2 linked regions of the Oryzias latipes genome follow. The protein of the gene in region 2 purifies or fractionates together with the protein of the main gene of each other region. This does not show direct contact. Links are inferred from orthologs where the notes say so. Each region holds a gene or a part of one and is shown on either strand. Other genes may lie near its edges.

Region 1 (4,244 bases), on a different chromosome or scaffold from region 2:
CTCCAGGCTGACCCCGACCCCCTGTAGAGGTCACCGGGAACAGACCAGCATCCTCCTGGGGGGGGGGGGCATGTGTCAGACCCAAGTGCATTTCCAGCTTTCAGAATAAAAGCATGGCTGTTTCCAATACCTTCAGCTCTTTGACAGGATTCTTGAGGGTGTCCACCTTCCTCTTCTTACGCTCAACGTAGGTGTCGATGGACTCCATCTTCTTAAAATGAGCCTCGTGGAGCTTTTTGAAATCTGGATGAAAGACATTTAAATGATGAAGGGGAACGAATCAGACTCACATGATGGAAACTGTTTTCAAAAACCAAAGACCTTCACAAAGAAAAATAAATGAACAAAATTAGAAAACAGACAAAACTGTGCACCCAACATAATGAAACAAACGAGGAGAGAAATAGAAATCTGCGGTTTGAGATGTTCTTTCAGGGAGCAGGACGTTACAATAATCTGTTTAGGTGGAAGTAAGAACATCAGCACCTCCTCCATGCTGGCAAAGTCATGCAACGTTTTATGTTGATGAAATTCTACTCTAGATTCTTTTTTTAAAATATGGAATATAAATCAGCCCAGAGTCAGAATAAACACCCTGATATCTCACTATTTGGAGAAATGATCGATTTCTTGTCTTCAGAACGTCAACTAAAAGCTCGGGGTCGTCCTGTTGAGCCATAGAGCTTCTCTGCATTCATGACTTCCTGTCTAAAATTCAGTTTAAAAATCTGCTTTCTGACTCCTCACCATCAGGAGATGAGCGTGTTTATCTGTGCGTCATCAGCACGGCCGTGAAATAAAGAAAGAAAAACTTACTTGGAGTGAGCGGTTTGAGCGCAGCCTTCTGCTGAGATCCACGATAGCGAGGGATCTTTCCAGCTTTGCTCACTTTGGGTTTTGGCTCTGGTTCTGGACACAGTGGTTTTCATGAATAAAAGGTACCCCAGTTAAGAAGCGGAGAGCATAAACCCCACTAGTGCACACCTGTCTCCACGCGTGCAGGTGCTTCCACGCAGGCGTCAGGCTGCAGCTCCTCCTGAGGCTCAGGTGAGTTCTGCTCAGAGGACGCTCGTCTCTTTGAAGCTCTCCTGGTCTTGGAGGATGAGGCTTCAGGTTCAGCATCAGCCTGGTAAGAAAAGAAAACCCATTAGAGGTTTTAGAGGACCAAACCTCCAAAAACCTCATAGATTCCAGCTAAAAATCCAGCTCACTTTGGACAAAATGATCTTTGGGATCAACAATCGTCTGTTAATCTTAGTTCTCTTATTCATACCTCAAAATGGAAAAAAGTATGGCCTAATTTCATTTTATTCAAAAAAAACATTTGCAAGCAAATTATCTTAATGCTTTAAAATGTATGCATAACAAAGGTGCAAATCTACTGGACATCCTCAGCAATTTTGATTTATTCTGGGATGTCTGTTTACAAATGTGTGAGTATAAATGAGTTATTGTTTATTGATGGCATGATTTTGTAAAATGTTTTCCCTCAGTTATGTGTACTACTTACAAAGTCATTGTTAATGAAGACAATCTTATTGCCTGTTTTGTCATAAGTTTGCATATAAAGTTTTTTTTTAAATAACTCCAAAAGTCACGTGACGTCGTATTTGCGTGTACCCGTGCAGCCTTTGGGGTCACCGCAGCCCCGCTGGTGGTCTTCCCCGAGTCCCTGCGTCCTCTCCCCCGACGCGCGTTGACAAACACGCGTGGGCTGGAGGTTTCTTTGACTGCATCCTGATCGGCATGACTGACGCGATCATCCTGTCCACGACACAAACAAGCCTTCATACAAAACTGCAGTTCAGGCTAAAGCAGCGATGTGTTTACGAGTGCCGGTTACCTTCCCCCCCGCCGCCTCCTGCTGCTTGTAGTGCTGTTTTACAGCCTTCAGGAGTTTGTTTGCCTGTATTGAGACAAATTATGTTAACACAAGTCACGTATTAGACAAACTACAGTAACAGCGCCCTTCGTTAGTAGTTGCCATATCCCGTAATAATTTTTCGTTCAGGATAAAGTTATGAAGCTAAATGTTGATCTTGCCTTCATGTTTGCTTTCAGTCCGAGCTGTTTAGCGAGACTTCGCAGATCGGCATATTTCATGGAGTCCAAATCCATCCTGACAAGGAGTAAATCCAGAAAAAGAATCCCGTTTTTATCCACAGTCAGATTGAATTCTGCGCGAGGCGTCCGCGGCTGACGGTTAAAACCAGATTTGAAACGGGACAAGAGGAGGGCTATGATTGGCTCTCAGTTTGACCGGAAATGGTCACAACCAATCAGAGCAAAGCGTGTCGATGCCTTTCCGTTTAAAAAAAATATTTTAATAATATAAAGACAGAAAAGCTTCACAAAAATCTGTTTTATTTTAGATTTTGAAAATTGAATTTGAATCAAAAATTCTTACAGGGAAAAAAAACGTTTATAGATAAAAGTTCGTAACTGCTCGGCGTGGCACGCGCGTCTGGGAAACCCGCTAAAAATGGAGTTTGAGAAAAGCATTTTAAATAAACGCAGCGACGAAGCGAAGCCTGGGACAGCGGCAGACGACAGACATCTGATGACCTTCCACTGCCAGCACTGCTACACCGTCCTGGCGGATTCCCTGGATGTTTGTGGTGAACTGCAGAGTCTGGACTCGGTCATTCTCTTAAGTAGGTTTGTCTCCTTTGTTTTGGTCACACAGACGTTCACGGCAGAATATTAACTAGCAAGCGAGTAATTTGTTAGAACTGTGTGTTAAAGGGAAAATATAGTTAAATTACCAATTTATTTATTTATTTACTTACTTGTTTGCCTGGCTATTTGGTGATCTGTGATTTGTAAGTTGTTACTGTTTTGGGGGGAGATCTTCCATGACAGGTAAATGTCTCCACTGTGGTATCAATAAAGTTAAATTCAAAGCTTTATTGATCCGTCGGGTTTGACAACAGTAAAAGTAGAATTTATTTTTTAAATTAAAGCAAGTTTTTGCCACCGAAGACGCTTTTAGGCAATTAAAGCACGCGATAACAAAAGTAATTTTGTTTTAACTACACTAAATATTTTTGACCAACTGTCCTTCATAAAAATAAAAAATATTAAATTAAGAAAATAAAAAATCAGCATTTTCTGATGAATCCCCTGAGTTTATTACCAAATATTATATTAACAAAATGTAATTTAGTAACAAATGTTCAAATGTCTTGTTGCTCTAATCAGCCATAGACGATGTTTTCTCCCATTTACCAACAAAAAAGCTATAATAACCTGTTAAAATAGGTCTCAGCTTTACAGAATTAAGGGGATGTTGTTGTTATTTACTTTTGTAACCCCCCCCCCCCCGTTGTTTTTTTTTTTTTTTTTTTTACTAAATTGTTCTTTACTATGAATACATTTATAAAAGAAATACAAATTTTATTTCTGCTTTTCTTTCCTCAGAAGTTACAGACGATGTTGTGGTTGGAGATGCTGTAATGTCCAAAGATAAAGGAGAAATGACAAACTGGTGAGTAGATTTTAAGGTAGAACCTGATAAAGATGATAAATACAGGACATAATCTGTCTCCTCTGAATGTTGAAACCCTCCCTGATCTCCACTGGTTTGTTCCTCAGCATCTCCAGTCCTCTTAAATGCAGTCACTGCCACCTCGACGTGGGGAAGATTCTCCACTCGAGCCCACCGAGCCTGGCTCCAGTTCGCTCCCTCTTCCTCCTGGACAAATCCAGCATCAGTTGGTGAATTTTCCCTGATCCGCTCTTTCATGAATAAAGGAGTAAATCAGAGCTGAGACTTTCTCCCTTTTCAATGGTAGAGATGAGAACACTGAGATGAGAAGCACTCAGAAAAAAACTATTTTCTTCTGCAGTTACATCCTGAACAGCAGCTCCATGGTGAAGGCCTCTGGACTCTCATTTGATCTGCAGCCTGTGAGTGAAAGACTGGCAGAGGTGAGAGCTTCGGGGAGGATCACGTGTGTGTTCTTTCTCAGTAAATGGGAGCTGTAGACACAGATCTGTCCTGCAGGGGGCGCCAGAGCAACATCCAAACAGAGATTGCTGTTGGACGGTTGACTCCTGGGATCATGTCGTCAGAACTTTCTCCTTCAGAGCTCACCTGCTGCCTTTTGTTCACAGGTGAAGCAACATTTTGAAGCTCACTTGGAGAAGATGTCGATCCTGAAGAGCAGATTGGCTGACATGAGTATTATCAGGAACAAGAAGAGGAGGTAGTCGTCTGTGGAGCTGGAGATGCCTTTAAAGTT
Region 2 (4,365 bases):
TCTTCTCCTGCAGAGGAAGCACAAGAATCAATAATGGAACACATGGAAAGAATGAAAAATCTCCACCAAAAATAGATCGATAAAAGTACTTTGGTGTGTGTAAACGCATTAAAATCGATATGCTAGTAATAGTTTCAGCAGGAACTAGTGTCAGTGTTTTCCAGGAGCAGAAAATAGACCATCAAGGCCATCATTTTTCTGCTAAAATGTAATCTGCTGATAATAAGCACCTAAAACCCAGATTCTACCCTCCACTGACCTTAGACTGATTTTTTCTAAGCATATTGTTGTCTGTCAAATATAGAAGACAAAGCTAAAGATTAAAGAAACACAGATACAGGGCTCCTCAGGATGGACTCGATGGAGCCACAGCAGCAGCAACAACAGCAGCAGCAGCACCTACCATGTTAGTATCGCACTCGGCCTTGAGGTGATCGAACACCACGGCCTTGCAGCAGCTGCCGGTGGGTGACCACGGCGGACGGATGAAAACCCAAGTGAATGGGTCGGCTTTGGGGGAGCGCACGCTTTCCGCCAGGCTAAAGAAGTGGGAGGCCTTTTGACCGCAGACGTCCGCTCGCCCTTCATCACTCAGCAACGCTGAAGAACAAAAGGGAAGACAGTAGAAAAGGTTCATATCAAGACAAACTCATAAGTGTCTTAAGCTATAAAAAAAAAATTTCTGACTTTTTTTAACCATGTGTTTTTGAAATATTCCTGTTAGACGCCAGTCGAGCATCTTAAATATACCGTTCTGAGGTAGATAGTGCTGGAAGACGCACACAAAGGCAAGTTTTATATTTTTTTCTCCTAATGCATACTTCATATACTGCCCACTTGTGGGTAATTAAAAGTTGTTGAGGATGCAGAGGCTGCAAGCAATGTATAATGATGCCTTGAGGATGCGATTGAAGACCCCTTGATAGTGTAAAGCTGTCTTTAGGTGTTTTTGATGTTATGTTGTGTTATTGCTCTTGAGAACGAGAGCATTTTGTCTTTGATTAAAATACATACTGCTCAGGAAATGTAGCCTTTAGTGCACTTACGCCCTTCATTGTATAAATAAGCAATCCCAAGTTTCACAGCAGCCTCGAAATTCCCTTTTTCTGCAGCTCTAGATTGAGAAAAAAAAAATTGCAGTTAAAAACTCGATAAATGACAAGCAGTCAGAACAGTGAATTTCTTTCTTTTTTTGTAAGAGGGAACCATACTTTTCAAATAGCCATAAGGTGTTGGGGGATGGCCATCGGTCTCTGAAACTGACCCTGGCCCACACACTGGAGTGGTTGTCTACAATATCCCGCAGCTGGGAATGAACCTACAACCAAAACAAAATAAGATTAACAAAAGCAGGAACAAAAAGAAACTTTATAGTTTTTAGTCACAAGATGCGCAAAGAACAGTCACTTGAGATTTGACAAAATGCAGCACATATGTTAAAGAACAAACTGCACAATTCAAATGCATACATCATTACTTACTGCTCTAACAGAGAGGAGGTCTTCTGCAGACAGACACTGAAGCACACAGAGAAGAATCTCCTCAGGCAGAGACAGCAGCGTTAGGGACGACGAGCGTTTACGAACCCGCTTCCGCACTGGAACCGAGTAACATTTTGAACAACGGCAGTGGACAACTGTAGACAGAGGAAGGGAGGAAAAAGTCATCAATACATGGATTTGTGGATGCATCTCTAGAGCAGCATCTTTAATGCACGCAGAAATGTACAGAATTTCATTCAAGTGTACAAAAGCACTTCACAGGGTAATGCGAAAAACTCATTCTCACATCTGTGCGAAAATCAATATTTGCACATCATTATAAAGGCATTTTAGAGGCAGTTGCCTCCTCTTGTGTTATTTGGTCAAGATGGTCATAAATAAAATAAAAAAATAATCAAGAATAATCAAATCCTATTTTAAAAAAAAATGTAAAAAAGAAAGAAATAAGATTCTACAGCAAGCCTCGTCTCTACAGCAATAACTTTTTCACTTAGCATAAAGTTTCATAAAATACAGTTAAACACTATTTTGGTCATATTTTTGTAAATAGATGAAAATTAAGGATAAAAAGTTGAAAATATGAAGACCCTTCAAGATAAATGACAGTAAATTCTCAACTCCCTCCATCATGAAGATGACAAACGTTTGACACCCTCGTGTGGCCTTCTCTGCATATTTGAATAAATATGATAAAGATTTAAACAAACACCAACCATTTTATAAGGATTCATTTAAAAAAATGTTGTGTTAAATATACATTGCACCTGAATAATCGCAGAAAAATAGTTTGAAGTAAGTTTCTGAGTTGAAGAAATCGAATCAGATGAGCGCCCAAATTTCCCTCCCGTATTCCGATTGAAGCTTGAGTTCTTTATTTTTAAATCTAGTTTATAGTTATATATATTTAAATACTACTACAACAAACAAGCTAGATTAATTTAAAGGTTATGGACTTTATTTTTGATTTTAGGTTTGTATTAACTTAAATAGAACAAGTTTTGTTAGTACATCGCTTACTTAGTTGCTAAATTTCACTGCACTCTCTGAATACTTACAAATAAAGACAGACTATATATTTACATTCATAAAAGGCAAAATATTTAACTATTGTTTCACGGAAGATATAAATATTAGTAGGAAGAAAGTTTTTAAAATCTACTTACCGCCCGCTTTCATTGCAAGTGGCTCAAGACCGATGTATGGAGATACAACACGGAACAAGTGCGTATAATGAGTGACGACACCACCTAAAACAAGCAAAATTATTTGCTGCTTTTGTCAGAAAACTAAATTAAGAATGATACGATATCTGCTGTCTTTCTATCACCAGCTAACATCCTATAAATTGTTAGCTCCTGCCTGAATTCAAATCCAAGCGTGTCCACATTTGGCCCCGCCCCGAAAGCGGTCTAGGACCGCCCGCGCCCATGGTTTAAACTCATTGTTTAATCTGATTGGTGAAAAGTGGTGACGCCCATCCGTTGCATCAAGACTTTCCGATTGGTCATCCCGCAGAGCGAAGGCTGTGGTTGGCCATACGGTATAAACTGGAAAAGTAGAGAATTCTATTGGATAACGTAATGCCTTTTCGAAGTACGCGCTCGCCCAAAAGCACAAATAATTGGATGACCTGAATATGAAGCTGTCCACAGAGCGACCATTTTGAAGTGAACCATGGGATATGTAGTCACATAAAATAGACAATTTAAAGGTACCGCTTTTAAAGGGACAGCTACAAATTAACCCTCCCCACAGTGGTATAATAGAAGAACTTAAAAAAAAAAAAAACAGCTCCAACTACGTTATTGGTACTCAAACTGTGGAGAATAAGTTTGAACCAAAAGCTCACTGTTAAGTAAATAAGATAAAAAACAACAAATGTACATTTTTCTTTGTTAGTTTTATTTATTTATTTTTATGTTTTGGTATTGTGCAAACCTTTAACTTCTTAACTTTTGATTTAAATTTACAAGCGTTGTTGTTTTCTCTTTACTCTAAATGCAAATTTAAATTTCCTGATATAATTAGCAGTTCTTGAAAAAAATGTAAGGATATATTATTTTTCTGCAGTTTTGAGAGCAAAACATGGATTTACACAAATCTTTATATAATATCCTGGCTTTATTGGATTTTGCCCCTCCTCCCCTAAGGTTCTAGTTTACCATAGTTTAACCTCCATGTACACCTTTGCCCCCATACCCAGGAATCCAGCAATTACATCCTGCCTCATTTGGACCAATCTTTCATACCCAAAAGGGTTTCTAACCCTGACAAGGTTTCTGTTTATACCAGCAAAAGTCCTAACGAGATAACAAAAACGAGTCCCCCCCCTCCAACCCACACAAAAACACATCACTTCACATCTCAGTAACCATGTGACCGACAACACAAATGAATGAATGAAAGCAACAGATTGGTTTGGCCTCTATTGCAGCTGCCTCGGAGAAAACTACATGATTAAGACCTTTTTGTTGCGTCTCTATTGACGATAAATAAACTTCTCTGTTAGCTGAATAGTGTCCTCTTGATTGCTAGTTTTTGGAAGGAGGTTATAAAGGACCAGAGTGCACAGTCAGTCCTTTGTTGCTTTCAAGCCTTCTATTGATCGGTTCATCACCTGTTCACCTAATCTCATCGCTACAAACAAAGCTACTACTCAGTAATTACATTTAAGAGGGCAAAGGCTTTTGGAAGTGTCAAAAAAGGTTCCACGGCAATATTATTTATTTCCCATTTTTATCTTGACTTGCACAATAAAGAAAGTGTATTTCCTCTTAACTCACTATGGGAAATATTCTTTGCTCTATTTAACACTGGAGATGCAGCAAAATCAAATTATCTTGAGTGACCTCAGTCAGGGCAA

Evidence for each region.
Region 1: the proteins of ccnf (region 2) and nusap1 purify together in Homo sapiens (affinity purification with mass spectrometry; 3 studies listed by BioGRID, with this or other methods). This does not show direct contact. The link is inferred for Oryzias latipes from reciprocal best matches to the Homo sapiens genes CCNF and NUSAP1.

What each region holds. Positions count from the first base shown.
Region 1 is NC_019880.2:1,752,052-1,756,295, reverse strand, and holds the start of nusap1 (nucleolar and spindle-associated protein 1), read right to left. Parts: upstream 2,881-4,244; 5' UTR 2,790-2,880; intron 2,655-2,789; coding exon of another isoform or gene 2,483-2,654; exon of another isoform or gene 2,263-2,482; intron 2,212-2,262; exon of another isoform or gene 2,120-2,211; 5' UTR 2,119-2,119; coding exon 2,044-2,118; intron 1,907-2,043; coding exon 1,844-1,906; intron 1,765-1,843; coding exon 1,621-1,764; intron 1,127-1,620; coding exon 985-1,126; intron 910-984; coding exon 817-909; intron 244-816; coding exon 131-243; intron 1-130. Other genes in the region: oip5 (protein Mis18-beta), read left to right, coding at 2,483-2,654, 3,421-3,487, 3,595-3,717, 3,849-3,930, 4,117-4,212. UniProt on the Homo sapiens protein: Microtubule-associated protein with the capacity to bundle and stabilize microtubules. May associate with chromosomes and promote the organization of mitotic spindle microtubules around them.
Region 2 is NC_019866.2:11,077,347-11,081,711, forward strand, and holds the start of ccnf (cyclin-F), read right to left. Parts: upstream 3,071-4,365; 5' UTR 2,679-3,070; coding exon 2,666-2,678; intron 1,637-2,665; coding exon 1,482-1,636; intron 1,319-1,481; coding exon 1,212-1,318; intron 1,115-1,211; coding exon 1,047-1,114; intron 601-1,046; coding exon 404-600; intron 8-403; coding exon 1-7. UniProt on the Homo sapiens protein: Substrate recognition component of a SCF (SKP1-CUL1-F-box protein) E3 ubiquitin-protein ligase complex which mediates the ubiquitination and subsequent proteasomal degradation of target proteins.